Linked DNA regions of Mus musculus: region 2 is reported to be linked to region 1. Evidence: microRNA targets listed by miRTarBase, many of them from high-throughput screens and not tested one by one. Region 1 holds a microRNA gene; the other region holds the end of a gene's coding sequence. Distances are from middle to middle.

Region 1 (7,196 bases):
TCCCTTTGAATGATAAGTGATGTAGAGTTTTAGAGATTATGCAATAGGGGGCATTGAATGGCCTCACTCACCAGGTGTAAAAGATTGACAAAGTCAGGAGGATAAGGATTGCAAATTCATGCTTAACTTCATTTGGAGACATCTTGGTATTAATGTCATGCAACCCATTTATGTGCATGTGTGCTTACTTGTATGTGCATTGTATGTGTTGACATGATATACATAACATAAACACACGTGTATCTGCAAGCACACACACACAGGAAAAATTGCATTCATTTATACGTTTGAATGATATGTGACTTAAAGTTTTCAAGATTATGCAGTAGTGGGACAGTGAATGGTTTTACTCACCAGGTGTGAAAGATTGTGGATCAGGAGTTCAAATGCATGCTTTACTACATGATGACTTAGAGATATGCCTGGGATTCATGTGATGCCCCCTATGTATCCCTATCTGTATCTGTTTCTATTGTGTGTGGATTTGAGTATATGGATGTACCTATCTACACAAATATATACATGTACACAGACACAAACAGAAACACACACACAAACATCAGTGCAACTCATCGATCCATTTGAATGACGTGTGACTTAGAGTTTTAAGATTCCTCAGTACTGAATGGGGAGAGGTCTCACTCAGCAGGTGAAATCCCTTGACAGAGTCAGTTGGATCAGGAGTTCAAATTCGTGCTGAATTTCATGATGAGTTCATGACCAGCATGGGATTCATCTTATGCCCACCAAAAATGTGCATGTGTGTATAGTTGTGTGCATATTCACTTCTCTATATGAATATGCATATACACACATGCACACACATTCATAGGAATGGCCAGAGCTATGTCTCAGTTAGGAGGTGAGCACTCTTGCCAGTGTCAGGAGGATGAGGAGTTCAAAATCATGTTTAACTTCATGATGAGTTAGAGTTCAGCATGCGATTCATGTGATGTCCACCAAGAATGTGCATGTGTGTATAGTTGTGTACATATTCACTTTTGTATATGAATATGCATATACTCACATGCAAACATACTCCCACGAATGGCCCGAGCTATGACTCAGTTAGGAGGTGAATACTCTTGCCAGCATCATGAGGATGAGCAGTTCAAATTCATGTTTAACTTTTTGATGAGTTAGAGATCAGCCCGGAATTCATGAGATTTTCCCTGTGTTTGTGTTTATGTGTATAGGGAAGTATGCCTGTACATGCACGTATATGAACATGCATATATATATATATATATATATATATATACATACATATATATATATATACACACACACACAACTAGGGACACATACATGTGCACACAAACACACATGGCAGTCATCCATTTGATTTATACGTGCTTAGAGTTTCATTGAGTTTATATTCATGGTATAGGGAAAAATCTCACTTATCAAATGAAAACTGTTTGCCAGAGTTAGGAGTCTCAGGAGGTCAAATTCATGCTTAACTTCATGATGAGTTAGAGATCACCCTGGATTTGTGGGATCGACCCTAGTTATGTACATTTGCATATAATTGTGTGTGCACGTACATGTGTATATATGATCATCCCTGTAAATACACACACATACAAATGTATTCACACATACAGGCATGCACACTCACACACATAAGAATGACACTCATTGATCCATTTGAATGATATATGTCTTAGAATTTTGCTGATTATAAAGTAGAGGGACAGTGAATATTCTCTCTCACCAGGTGTAAACAATTGGCAGTGTCAGGAAGATCAGGAGTTCAATTTTATGCTTAACTTCATGAGCAGTTAGAGATCATCCTGGAATAATGTGATGGCCCCTATGTATGTGCCTGTGTGCGTAAGTGCCTGCATGTATATGCGTGTATATTTTATGCATATACATACACACACCTACACACACATGCACACAGACATGCGGGAATGGCACTCACGGATCCATTTGAATGATATGTGACCTACTGCTTTGGAGGTTATGTATGACTGGGCCAGGGTGAGGTCTCACAAACCACGGGAAACCCTTGGTAGAGTCGGGAAGATCAGGAGTGCAAGTTCATGGTAAAGGCATGATGTGTTAGAGGTCATCCTGGCATTCATGTGATTGCCCCTATGTATGTGTGTATGTGTTGATGTGTGTGTACATGTACATATGTGAATATGATATACATATACATACACGCACACATAAGACACATATGAGCACACAGACACATGGGAATGGCACTCATCAATCCATTTGAGTGATAAGTGACTTAGAGTGAAAATGCTTGCTAGAGTTAAGGGTATCAGGAGTTCAAATTCATACTTATCCTCATGAGAGATCAGCCTGTGATTCCTCCATGTATGTGCATGTGTGTATAGTTGTGTGTGCATGTTCATGTCTATATTTGAATATACATAACATACACACACACGTATAAACGCAAGCACACATACACAGACACAGGAATGGCATTCGCCAATCCCTTTGAATGATAAGTGATGTAGAGTTTTAGCGATTATGCAATAGGGGACATTGAATGGTCTCACCCACCAGGTGTAAAAGATTGACAAAGTCAGGAGGATAAGGATTGCAAATTCATGCTTAATTCAGTTAGAGATCATCCTGGTATTCATGTGAGGCCACCCATGTATGTGCATGTGTGTTTACTTGTATATGCATTGCCTCTGTTGACATGATATACAAAATATAAACACACGTGTATATGCAAGTACAGACACAGAGAAAAAAATTGCATTCATTTATACGTTTGAATGATATGTGACTTAAAGTTTTAGATTATGCAGTTTGGGACAGTGAATGGTTTTACTCACCAGGTGTGAAAGATTGTGGATCAGGAGTTCAAATTCATGCTTTACTTCATGATGACTTTAAGATATGCCTGGGATTCATGTGATGCCCCTATGTATCCCTATCTGTATCTGTTTCTATTGTGTGTGGATTTGAGTATATGGATGTACCTATCTACACAAATATATACATGTACACAGACACAAACAGAAACACACACACAAACATCAGTGCAACTCATCGATCCATTTGAATGACGTGTGACTTAGAGTTTTAAGATTCCTCAGTACTGAATGGGGAGAGGTCTCACTCAGCAGGTGAAATCCCTTGACAGAGTCAGGTGGATCAGGAGTTCAAATTTGTGCTGAATTTCATGATGAGTTCATGACCAGCATGGGATTCATCTTATGCCCATCAAAAATTTGCATGTGTGTATAGTTGTGTGCATATTCACTTCTCTATATGAATATGCATATACACACATGCACACACATTCATAGGAATGGCCAGAGCTATGTCTCAGTTAGGAGGTGAGTACTCTTGCCAGTGTCAGGAGGATGAGGAATTCAAATTTATGTTTAACTTCATGATGAGTTAGAGTTCAGTATGCGATTCATGTGATGCCCACCAAGAATGTGCATGTGTGTATAGTTGTGTATATATTCACTTCTGTATATGAATATGCATATACTCACATGCAAACATATTCCCACGAATGGCCCGAGCTATGACTCAGTTAGGAGGTGAATACTCTTGCCAGCATCATGAGGATGAGTAGTTCAAATTCATGTTTAACTTTATGATGAGTTAGAGATCAGCCCGGAATTCATGTGATTTTCCCTGTGTTTGTGTTTATGTGTATAGGGAAGTATGCCTGTACATGCGCGTATATGAACATGCATATATATATATGTATATATATGTATATATGTATACACACACACACACACAACTAGGGACACATACATGTGCACACAAACACACATGGCAGTCATCCATTTGATTTATGCGTGCTTTGAGTTTCATTGAGTGTATATTCATGGTATAGGGAAAAATCTCACTTATCAAATGAAAACCACTTGCCAGAGTTAGGAGTCTCAGGAGTTCAAATTCATGCTTAACTTCATAATGAGTTAGAGATCACCCTGTATTTGTGTGATGGATCCTAGGTATGCAAAAGTGCATATAATTGTGTGTGCACGTACATGTGTGTATATGATCATACATATAAATACACACACATATAAAATGTATTCACACACACAGGCATGCACACTCACACACATAAGAATGACACTCATTGATCCATTTGAATGATATATGTCTTAGAATTTTGCTGATTATAAAGTAGAGGGATAGTGAAGGTCTCACTCACCAGGTGTAAACAATTGGCAGTGTCAGGAGGATCAGGAGTTCAATTTCATGCTTAACTTCATGAGCAGTTAGAGATCATCCTGGAATAATGTGATGGCCCCTTTGTATGTGCCCGTGTGCGTAAGTGCCTGCATGTATATGCGTGTATATTTTATGCATATACATACACACACCAACACACACATGCACACAGACATGCGGGAATGTCCCTCACGGATCCATTTGAATGATATGTGACCTACTGCTTTGGAGGTTATGTATGACTGGGCCAGGGTGAGGTCTCACAAACCACGGGAAAACCCTTGATAGAGTCAGGAAGATCAGGAGTGCAAGTTCATGGTAAAGGCATGATGAGTTAGAGGTCATCCTGGCATTCATGTGATTGCCCCTATGTATGTGTATATGTGTTGATGTGTGTGTGCATGTACATATGTGAATATGATATACATATACATACACGCACACATAAGACACATATGAGCACACAGACACAGGGGAATGGCACTCATCAATCCATTTGAGTGATAAGTGACTTAGAGTGAAAATGCTTGCTAGAGTTAAGAGTATCAGGAGTTCAAATTTACACTTATCCTCATGAGAGATCAGCCTGTGATTCCTCCATGTATGTGCATGTGTGTATAGTTGTGTGTGCATGTTCATGTCTATATTTGAATATACATAACATACACACACACGTATAAACGCAAGCACACATACACAGACACAGGAATGGCATTCGCCAATCCCTTAGAATGATAAGTGATGTAGAGTTTTAGAGATTATGCAATAGGGGACATTGAATGACCTCACCCACCAGGTGTAAAAGATTGACAAAGTCAGGAGGATAAGGATTGCAAATTCATGCTTAATTCAGTTAGAGGTCATCCTGGTATTCATATGAGGCCACCCATGTATGTGCATGTGTGTTTACTTGTATATGCATTGCCTCTGTTGACATGATATTCAAAATATAAACACACGTGTATATGCAAGTACAGACACAGAGAAAAAAATTGCATTCATTTATACGTTTGAATGATATGTGACTTAAAGTTTTAGATTATGCAGTTTGGGACAGTGAATGGTTTTACTCACCAGGTGTGACAGATTGTGGATCAGGAGTTCAAATTCATGCTTTACTTCATGATGACTTTAAGATATGCCTGGGATTCATGTGATGCCCCCTATGTATCTCTATCTGTATCTGTTTCTATTGTGTGTGGATTTGAGTATATGGATGTACCTATCTACACAAATATATACATGTACACAGACACAAACAGAAACACACACACAAACATCAGTGCAACTCATCGATCCATTTGAATGACGTGTGACTTAGAGTTTTAAGATTCCTCAGTACTGAATGGGGAGAGGTCTCACTCAGCAGGTGAAGTCCCTTCACAGAGTCAGGTTGATCAGGAGTTCAAATTTGTGCTGAATTTCATGATGAGTTCATGACCAGCATGGGATTCATCTTATGCCCACCAAAAATTTGCATGTGTGTATAGTTGTGTGCATATTCACTTCTCTATATGAATATGCATATACACACATGCACACACATTCATAGGAATGGCCAGAGCTATGTCTCAGTTAGGAGGTGAGTACTCTTGCCAGTGTCAGGAGGATGAGGAATTCAAATTTATGTTTAACTTCATGATGAGTTAGAGTTCAGTATGCGATTCATGTGATGCCCACCAGAATGTGCATGTGTGTATAGTTGTGTACATATTCACTTCTGTATATGAATATGCATATACTCACATGCAAACATACTCCCTCGAATGGCCTGAGCTATGACACAGTTAGGAGGTGAATACTCTTGCCAGCATCATGAGGATGAGTAGTTCAAATTCATGTTTAACTTTATGATGAGTTAGAGATCAGCCCGGAATTCATGTGATTTTCCCTGTGTTTGTGTTTATGTGTATAGGGAAGTATGCCTGTACATGCGCGTATATGAACATGCATATATATATATATATATATATATGTATACACACCCACACAACTAGGGACACATACATGTGCACACAAACACACATGGCAGTCATCCATTTGATTTATACGTGCTTATAATTTCATTGAGTGTATATTCATGGTATAGGGAATAATCTCACTTATCAGATGAAAACCACTTGCCAGAGTTAGGAGTCTCAGGAGTTCAAATTCATGCTTAACTTCATAATGAGTTAGAGATCACCCTGTATTTGTGTGATGGATCCTAGGTATGCACAAGTGCATATAATTGTGTGTGCACGTACATGTGTGTATATGATCATACATATAAATACACACACATACAAATGTATTCACACACACAGGCGTGCACACTCACACACATAAGAATGACACTCATTGATCCATTTGAATGATATATGTCTTAGAATTTTGCTGATTATAAAGTAGAGGGACAGTGAAGGTCTCACTCACCAGGTGTAAATAATTGGCAGTGTCAGGAGGATCAGGAGTTCAATTTCATGCTTAACTTCATGAGCAGTTAGAGATCATCCTGGAATAATGTGATGGCCCCTATGTATGTGCCCGTGTGCGTAAGTGCCTGCATGTATATGCGTGTATATTTTATGCATATACATACACACACCTACACACACATGCACACAGACATGCGGAAATGGCCTTCACGGATCCATTTGAATGATATGTGACCTACTGCTTTGGAGGTTATGTATGACTGGGCCAGGGTGAGGTCTCACAAACCACGGGAAAACCCTTGGTAGAGTCGGGAAGATCAGGAGTGCAAGTTCATAGTAAAGGCATGATGAGTTAGAGGTCATCCTGGCATTCATGTGATTGCCCCTACGTATGTGTATATGTGTTGATGTGTGTGTGCATGTACATATGTGAATATGATATACATATACATACACGCACACATAAGACACATATGAGCACACAGACACAGGGGAATGGCACTCGTCAATCCATTTGAATGATAAGTGACTTAGAGTGAAAATGCTTGCTAGAGTTAAGAGTATCAGGAGTTCAAATTTACACTTATCCTCATGAGA
Region 2 (7,620 bases), 5.9 Mb from region 1:
TCTAGAGCATCACTTTAGTGTTACTCTAGGGAAGGCTCACGTTTTTACTGTTCTTCCAGGACAGTGATAATTTACCACAGAAGCGTTAGCCCTTAGGTCTGCTGTAAAGCAAGCCCCTGGCTGTCATGTAGGAAGTCACCCCGAGGTGTACACCCCTGGCTGTCATGTAGGAAGTCACCCCGAGGTGTACAGTTCCACGGGCTTCTCAGCCTGGGCTGCATCTGAAAATCCTGTGGGACTGGGAAGGGCCCCCAAGCAAATAGCAGCAGGCCCTGACTCGGGCCTGGACGTGAGCATTTCTGAGGTTCCCACATGACCCTGAGGACGACTGTATCGAGCGTTAACTTGCATTGCCGAGGTTTCAGGAGGTCCCTTTTGTGCTACTCTTATGGTCTCTGGACGCCTTTCGTATACCAAACGTAATGGAGATTGGCAAGCCTCACCTATGTGGGGCAGGGAAGACAGCTCATCTGTAGAGAGCATGTGACTCATGCATCCTAACATTCATTCTGTAGTACTCTAACTCTGGTTCTCTCTCTCTCTCTCTCTCTCTCTCTCTCTCTCTCTCTCTCTCTCTCTCGGATCCACAGGAGCTACAGTGACAGCTGCTTCCTGGATTCCTCCCTCTATCCAGAGCTAGCTGATGTCCAATGGTACGGGCAGGAAAAAGCCAAGCCCGGGACCCTCGTGTGAGCCGGCCAGGCTGGATGTGACCACCGCCACGCCATTCCAAGTCACCTCACTGCCTCTCATTTGCCTTACCCAGATGCACTGTCACCTGCACCAGCTTCGGCCCTCAGCACTTTTCTTCTCCTGTCTCCACATCCCTTTCACCCTCAAAAACCTGACTGAGGAGACATTCTGGAAGGTTCCGAACCCACTGTGTGTCCCCTGGCTCTCTTGCCCAGAGAGCCAGACAACAATCCTCAATGGCACCTTGGTGGTTTCCGTCTGCCATGATACCCAGGCCACAAACTGTCAGGAAAGCCAACACATGCAATTCCTGTAGAAGAGAACAAGAAAAAAGCTAGCCCTGCCTGCAGATACTGAAGCTGTTTCTGGCTGCCACCCTATAGGCCGGCCGAGTGCTTCTAGAGGAGAGTGCTCAGGGGATATCAGTTTACACCTGAAATAAATCTGCCATAGTGAGACAGCCAGCAAGAGCTCCTAAGGGGACGTGTGAGAAAGAAGACTGGTGCTTCAGAGACGCATCAGAGGATCACAGTTGGTTCTATGCTGCCAAAGATTAGACACATTCAACAATGAACAGATAGGAGGGGCCAAGAGGAACACACTTTTTCTGCAGCGAAATTTCAATTCTAAACTGCTCCTACGCAGCACAAGTGAAAGTCAACCATCTTAGACCACGTCCTGTCGTGACCCTTCTCCTGGAGCACTCCTGAGAGCTGGGAACAAACCCAACGGGACAGTGAAGATGAAGGAGGCTCGGCTGGCCTGGCAGACTCGGACTCTATCTGTCTGGACATGGGAGGAGCAGGGTACCATTAGGACTGCCCTATGCAGGGGCTTCAGCCTACGCCCCCAAAGCTTCCTTCCTTTTGGGATGGGGAGGAAGCCAACGGTGACCATAGCCAAAAGCAGTTCTCTCGTTAAAACCACCAGTAAAAGTGTAACCTTTCTGTTTTGTACAAGGCCTTTCAGTTTTTGTTTTTGGGAAACCAAGGGAAAAAGCACATTGCAATCTACTCAAGTGTTTTACCGTTGTGGTTCATTTTATGTTTGTTAACACTTGTGTGCACTCGGACAGACCTCGCCTGTGTGTCGCTTAGTCAGAGAACTCACGTACGCCCTTAGGTAGGAAGACTTTTTACACACGTCTACCAGTTGGCAGGCAGAGCAGAGTTGCAACAACTCAGCTCCCAAAGGGCCCAGACCCCTCCAGCAGTATCTGTGACCTCGATACACCACCTCCGTCCACAGATACCAAGAGGATAAAAGGCAAAAAACATAAAAGCACGCGTGCAAGCTGCTTGTTTACATGTGTTTTGAGCTATGCTTAACACACAACCAAAAAGCCATCAATCTCCAAAGGCCTCAGAACCACTTCTATACTAACTAACCAGTGCACAGTCTTAGTGGGGCATGGCACTAACGATGGCACAAGAGTCTCTGTGGAGGTAGTGTGGCTTGCAGGGGTTACCTTGTCATGACTTCCTGTGGGGAAGACATCTAGGACCAGGAGCCAGGGTGGGAAGAAAGCAAATCTAAAAGTTGGCTGTGGCATCAAAAGAAAAAAACTTCCTCATGTATTTAAATCCAAGAATAACAATAGACATTACCAGACTGGGAAGGTAAGAAATGAACAGCAGAAAGGACTGACCCTCACTTTGCAGTGGCTTGGAAACCTCTGGAAGTCAAGTGGGAGCATTCATCCCATGTGGCCTGAGGCCTTTTCTCTCCCATTCAAGGCTGGGTACCCCAGAGCTGGGCATGGTTGGCGTGATGAGCCCAGCTTCCAGAAGCAGTACTCTTCCCAGACACTTGAGGGATAACCCTGTAGGGTGAGTGGGGACGGGATATGATGGTACAAAATGACCCTGGGGCTCCGTGGAGACGGGGCTACCTTTCTTGCTCCTAGTATGATAGTCGGAGCTACATAAAGCAGGTTTATTTGGGGACTATTTCTTCCTTCCTTAGCTAATGGAAATGTGACACATTGTGCCCCATTTTCTTTCTTCCAAAAGGAGATGCCTGAATAATTTGCCTGAACAGAAAACGTCCAAAAGGAAACAAAGAACAAGACAAGGTTACATGGTTACAGGTTATAACAGAGACAGCAGTTTGAAAATTGATTCTGAAGTCCTTCGGATCTATGAGAGATGCAGAAAGAATCTAAATGTAATAGATTTGGGGAGCAGAGGGAAACGGAATGGGAGCTGTGAACACCATCACGATAGTCTGGCAGTAAGGACAGAGATTTAAGTAAAACAGGTTTTACTGTTTAGCTGTGTTCGGTTAATACACTGTACATAATATAATACGCATTAGTCCTTTGAGACTGACATAATAAATGGTCGCTGTGGTTGGTGATGAACGCTCTAGGTATTGTATCCAAGCACCTGCAGATTCTTTACACATCCCTGTTTCTTTTAAGGGAGATGAAGTCCCCAGTTTAAAGCCCCTATTGGATTCGTTGGATACATGTAAGAAATTGCTTGTTTCAGCCAGAAGACTATGTTGTGAGCCAGGTTGGTTTATTTTGTTATATGCAGGTGAGTGTTGGAGTGTTCAAAGCCCAATTTGTTTTCATCCAGTATTAGTTTAGTTCTAAATATAGCAAGCCTCACCCAGGTGCTATCAGATGACCAATTACTGCTTAGTTAACTAGGTGTAAAGTTTTACATATCCATTCATGTCAATAGTTTATTACAAGTTGTGTAAAACGGACTCTAGTTTAATAATTGGGGGGGTGGTAAGATTAGGTTGCTCCTGAAACTGACTGTAGAGCATGTAAAATGATTTTACTGGATTCTGTTCAACTGTAATCAATGACAAAGATGTATGTTGTAGACAAAGTTGCAGAATTAAAAAAAAAAGGAAATCTGCTTTTAATTTATTCTTTTTGTATTAAGAATTTGTATAGTACCTTTACATTTTGCAGAACAGTGTTGTCAACACTTATTAAAGCATTTTCAAAATGAAAACACCCCAGTTGCCTCTTGGACACTTTGTTTCTAAACGATAAACATGTAACCACGCTCCAGAAATCTACATATCAAGAAGATAATGAACTTTTTTTTTTTCCATAAACATCAGCCTACCTATGGCATACCTTTTGGGTTTGGCTTGTTCTTTAAAACAGTCTCATTCTGCACAACAGCTTTAAAATCACAATCTTTTTGCCTCCAGCCCAAGTGCGGGCGCACACCACCACACACACCCAAGTACACCTGGTATTGTTGCCGTGGTAGAGAGGCCAGTTCTTTGCTATAAATCATCTACCCTCTAAATCATATCACCTGGACAATAGCCAGTTACAGTTACAAAAGTCCCCCAATTACAGCATACGGCTACTGGCATGCATTAGCAGATCACTGCAATTGTATCCCTGGCCTGTTGTCACCTGACAGACAGCTCTTTCCTAAGCATACGGCTACTGGCATGCATTAGCAGATCACTGCAATTGTATCCCTGGCCTGTTGTCACCTGACAGACAGCTCTTTCCTAAGCATACGGCTACTGGCATGCATTAGCAGATCACTGCAATTGTATCCCTGGCCTGTTGTCACCTGACAGACAGCTCTTTCCTAGCAGGAAACTGAAAGGCTAGCCTCCAGGAACACCCTACATGGAAAGCCCTTCCTGACAAGGGGCTAGAGCCTGCCAATAAGAGCAACGATGCACGAAGAAGCTGGACCTGTCTGAAAGTAAGCAGATAGAACAGTGTTTCCTACTTCCTGAACTCTGGCAACTGTCTGGGAAACTGCTTAGGGCACTATCACACTGTCCCAAAATAATCTATACTTGAAACAAAAAAGGCCTCTTGTAAACATGTTATACATAAAGATGCCAAAATGAGCCTGTGCTCTAAGATCCGTCAAAGGAAAGCAACTGGAATTTAGCTTCACTCACACACACACACACTCACACACACACACTCACACACACACACACACACACACACACACACACTCACACACACACACACACACACACACACACACACACACACACACTCACACACACACACACACACTCACACACACACACACACACACACACTCACACACACCCCTACTTCTGCCTCTCACATAATGTCAACATAATAACTCTCATTTTTATCTTGATTCCTGGAGAACACAAAGTAAACACCCTGATCCTGTAGAAAATATTAAAAATATTCAGTCCCTGACTTCCCAGAATAACTGTTAAAAGACACACAAAACTCTCCCCAGAGTGTACAGATCCACTTGAAGGCTGTGAGCAGCCAGTGGCCTCTGTCAAGGCCCTGCACACTTGGTACAGAATCCGTGTGCTCAGTCTTAGGTGCTTGTGAATCAGAAAAAGCAGCACAGGATAGAGATTTAAAGGGTGAGGAACTCTAGCAGCATTAAACTGGGAGGAGCTTAAGCCAATTCCCAAGGACACTAACATACAGGGGCTCTCACTCAGACCTTGCGCAAGGAGTTGGCCTCTCTGAGATGACAGCCACTGAGGTATAATATATAACTGCCTGGTTTACACTAAGTCACACTGCCAGCAAAGTCACTTCTATTCAGCCAAGGCAATAGTGTAGATAATAATTGGTATTCTAGAATAATTGGTGTACACGCACATGCACGCACATGGGTGTTTTTTATTCTTCGTAGAAGCACATTTTATAAGATGTTATCCTTATAAGCCAGTAGTAGGTTACTTTTGCTTCTCTTTCTGGTACCCATTTTCCCTAAAACTCACTCCAGTCATGCACTCCTCCCCTCCGCTTCACCTAGCCGAGTCATCAAGATGGACGCCTTGTGATGCCAACAGCTCCCTTTTGTCATTTTATGCAGCTTACCATCAGGCACTGAATGTAGACAGTGTTCCTTACTCTACTGAGATAACTTCTTCACACCACTATGTTTGTTTGGACTCTCTTACTCTTGGCTCCCTGTATTTTCTCATCACTATTATAAAGTACCTGAGAGAAACCACCTCAGGGAAGGTTTTATTTGACTCTGGTTTAGCAGGCAAAGGGTAGTACCAGGTCCTTGCAAGTAAACGTACCCTGATTCTTGGCTGACCAGAACACAAAACGCAAAACTGGAACAAGAGGCACATATAAACTTCAAAGATCACTCCCTAGTGAACTACTTATATCACAAAGGCCCCACATCCCAAAGATCCCACAGAGCATAGCCATCTAGGGACCACGTGTTCAAACACACAAGCCTCCTGAGAACATTTCCGATTCCAACCATAACACACTGCTCTCCTGGTTTGCTGTGTCACCTTTCTGCTGGCGACACCAGCACTTTCCATCCATTCTGGGGCTCTTCTTTCAATCTGTACTTCCTATTGCCTCTTCAACAGCGAGATGTCAAAAACCTAACTCTTGATTTCCCCCTCCAAACATGCTCCAATGGCCACCCTCAACTTAGAGGAAGTGCCATCTTCCTAGGGCTCAGGTCAAAGATCTTGTAATTATCCCTGATGGCTCTTTTTCTTCCCACATCTGCAGTAAACAAAACAGATATGAATGTCCATCCTTGTGAGATTTATACTGCATTGTGGGAAAGAGGAAGAAAATAAAAACTGAATCATTTACCAGAGAGGGGCAGGAAAGCAGGCACAGTAGAAGATTTAGCCCGAGACGGAAAGAGTAATGCCATTTCCACCACGTCTGCTAAGGAAGAATGCTGGTACACTTACAGTGCTTAAGAGTGCTTCCAAATTCAACTAGTGTGAGAATAAGGTTAAGGCCACAGCTACATGAGACAGGAAAAGGGGAGTCAGGATGCAGCAACCTCAAAGCTTCATACAAGAGTCCCAGAATCAGAGAGAGACTGCTCACAGGAGTAGGAAGTGCTCTTCTGCCTTCACTAATGTGCATAGGCGTGCAAGCTCCCACACACGTGAGCTTACGTCACAGACACACAAATACAAATGAACGAATACGTAACGAAACACTAGGATTTTACAGAAAGTGCAAAAATTCAGTTCCCTTCTCTGAAATCCCATGCTTGTAGGAATGCCACTATGATGACACCGTTAAAGAAAGAGAAAAAAAGTTTCATTAAAATTGGCATACAGGCTGGGATGAGTCAGTGATTAAGAGCGCTTGGTGCTCTTACAAAGGACCCAGATTCACTTCCCAGCACCCACGCAGCAACTCAAACCATCTGTACCTCTACTTCCCTGGGATCAGATACTGTTCTGACTTCCATAAGCACTGCCCAAGTGCAGTAAGCTTAACTACATGCTGGAAAAATACTCATGGACATAAAAATAAGTCTATAAATGTTTTTAAAAGATTACCAAATGAAATGATTTTTTAATGGGGTCCCTACTCAAAGATAGCTGAAAAGATTATATCAATATCCAAGCTGGGCATGAGATTTGTTCCTTCCCATTAACAATTAGCACAACAATTGGCCTCAGCCATAGTACAACATCTATGTCCATAAGAATGTATACATAAGTATAAACTAGCAAGAGGGGCTGGAGAGATGGCTCAGTGGTTAAGGGCATTGACTACTCTTCCAGAGGTCCTGAGTTCAATTTTCAGCAACCACATGGTGGCTCACAACTGTCTGTAATTGGATCCAATGCCCTCTTCTGGTGTATCTGAGGACAGCTATAGTGTACTCATATACATAAAATAAATAATTCTTTAATAAAAATTAAATAAATTCAATTTTTAAATGAATTTAAAAATTCATTTAAGCAAGAAAATGTACAAAACTCAACAGGAGACAACAGGCATGAAGTCTGTCTTGATTAGAGCCTTCCTAAAAGGAAATGTACAGTAGAGGTGTTTCAACTGGGTTATCATCGGGTGAACACAAACTAAGTCCACAATGTAACCCTGCTAAAGCAAAGGTTTCAGAAGACACTTCAAATATGAGCAGATGTAGACAAACTAAACTCTCAAGTCCCCAAAGCAGGCGTGTGACTAGT

The links. Region 1 holds the annotated microRNA mmu-miR-466c-5p (UGAUGUGUGUGUGCAUGUACAUAU, at 4,570-4,593, shown strand). A microRNA usually pairs through its seed, bases 2 to 8, with sites in the 3' UTR of a target mRNA and lowers its output. Matches are read on the target gene's strand: a 7mer-m8 pairs with bases 2 to 8, a 7mer-A1 pairs with bases 2 to 7 and ends in A, and an 8mer does both.
Region 2: the mRNA of Frmd4a is a reported target of mmu-miR-466c-5p. Seed matches in the 3' UTR shown: 7mer-m8 at 3,094-3,100.

What each region holds. Positions count from the first base shown.
Region 1 is chr2:10,476,975-10,484,170 of GRCm38, forward strand. Mir466c-1 (microRNA 466c-1) reads left to right here and starts at 4,560; the gene lies at 4,560-4,643. All of the region lies in intron 10 of Sfmbt2 (Scm-like with four mbt domains 2), which reads left to right. It overlaps Mir669g (microRNA 669g), which reads left to right and starts at 176; the gene lies at 176-298. Mir669j (microRNA 669j) reads left to right here and starts at 936; the gene lies at 936-1,056. It also overlaps Mir467a-2, Mir466e, Mir669a-4, Mir467b, Mir669a-5 and Mir467a-3, and 1 more gene.
Region 2 is chr2:4,610,377-4,617,996 of GRCm38, forward strand. It overlaps Frmd4a (FERM domain containing 4A), which reads left to right. Exons shown (of 23, transcript NM_172475.3): 23 at 591-3,667. The coding sequence ends at 693. Among named protein-coding and RNA genes, the nearest start is that of Gm13179, 20 kb to the left of the region's middle.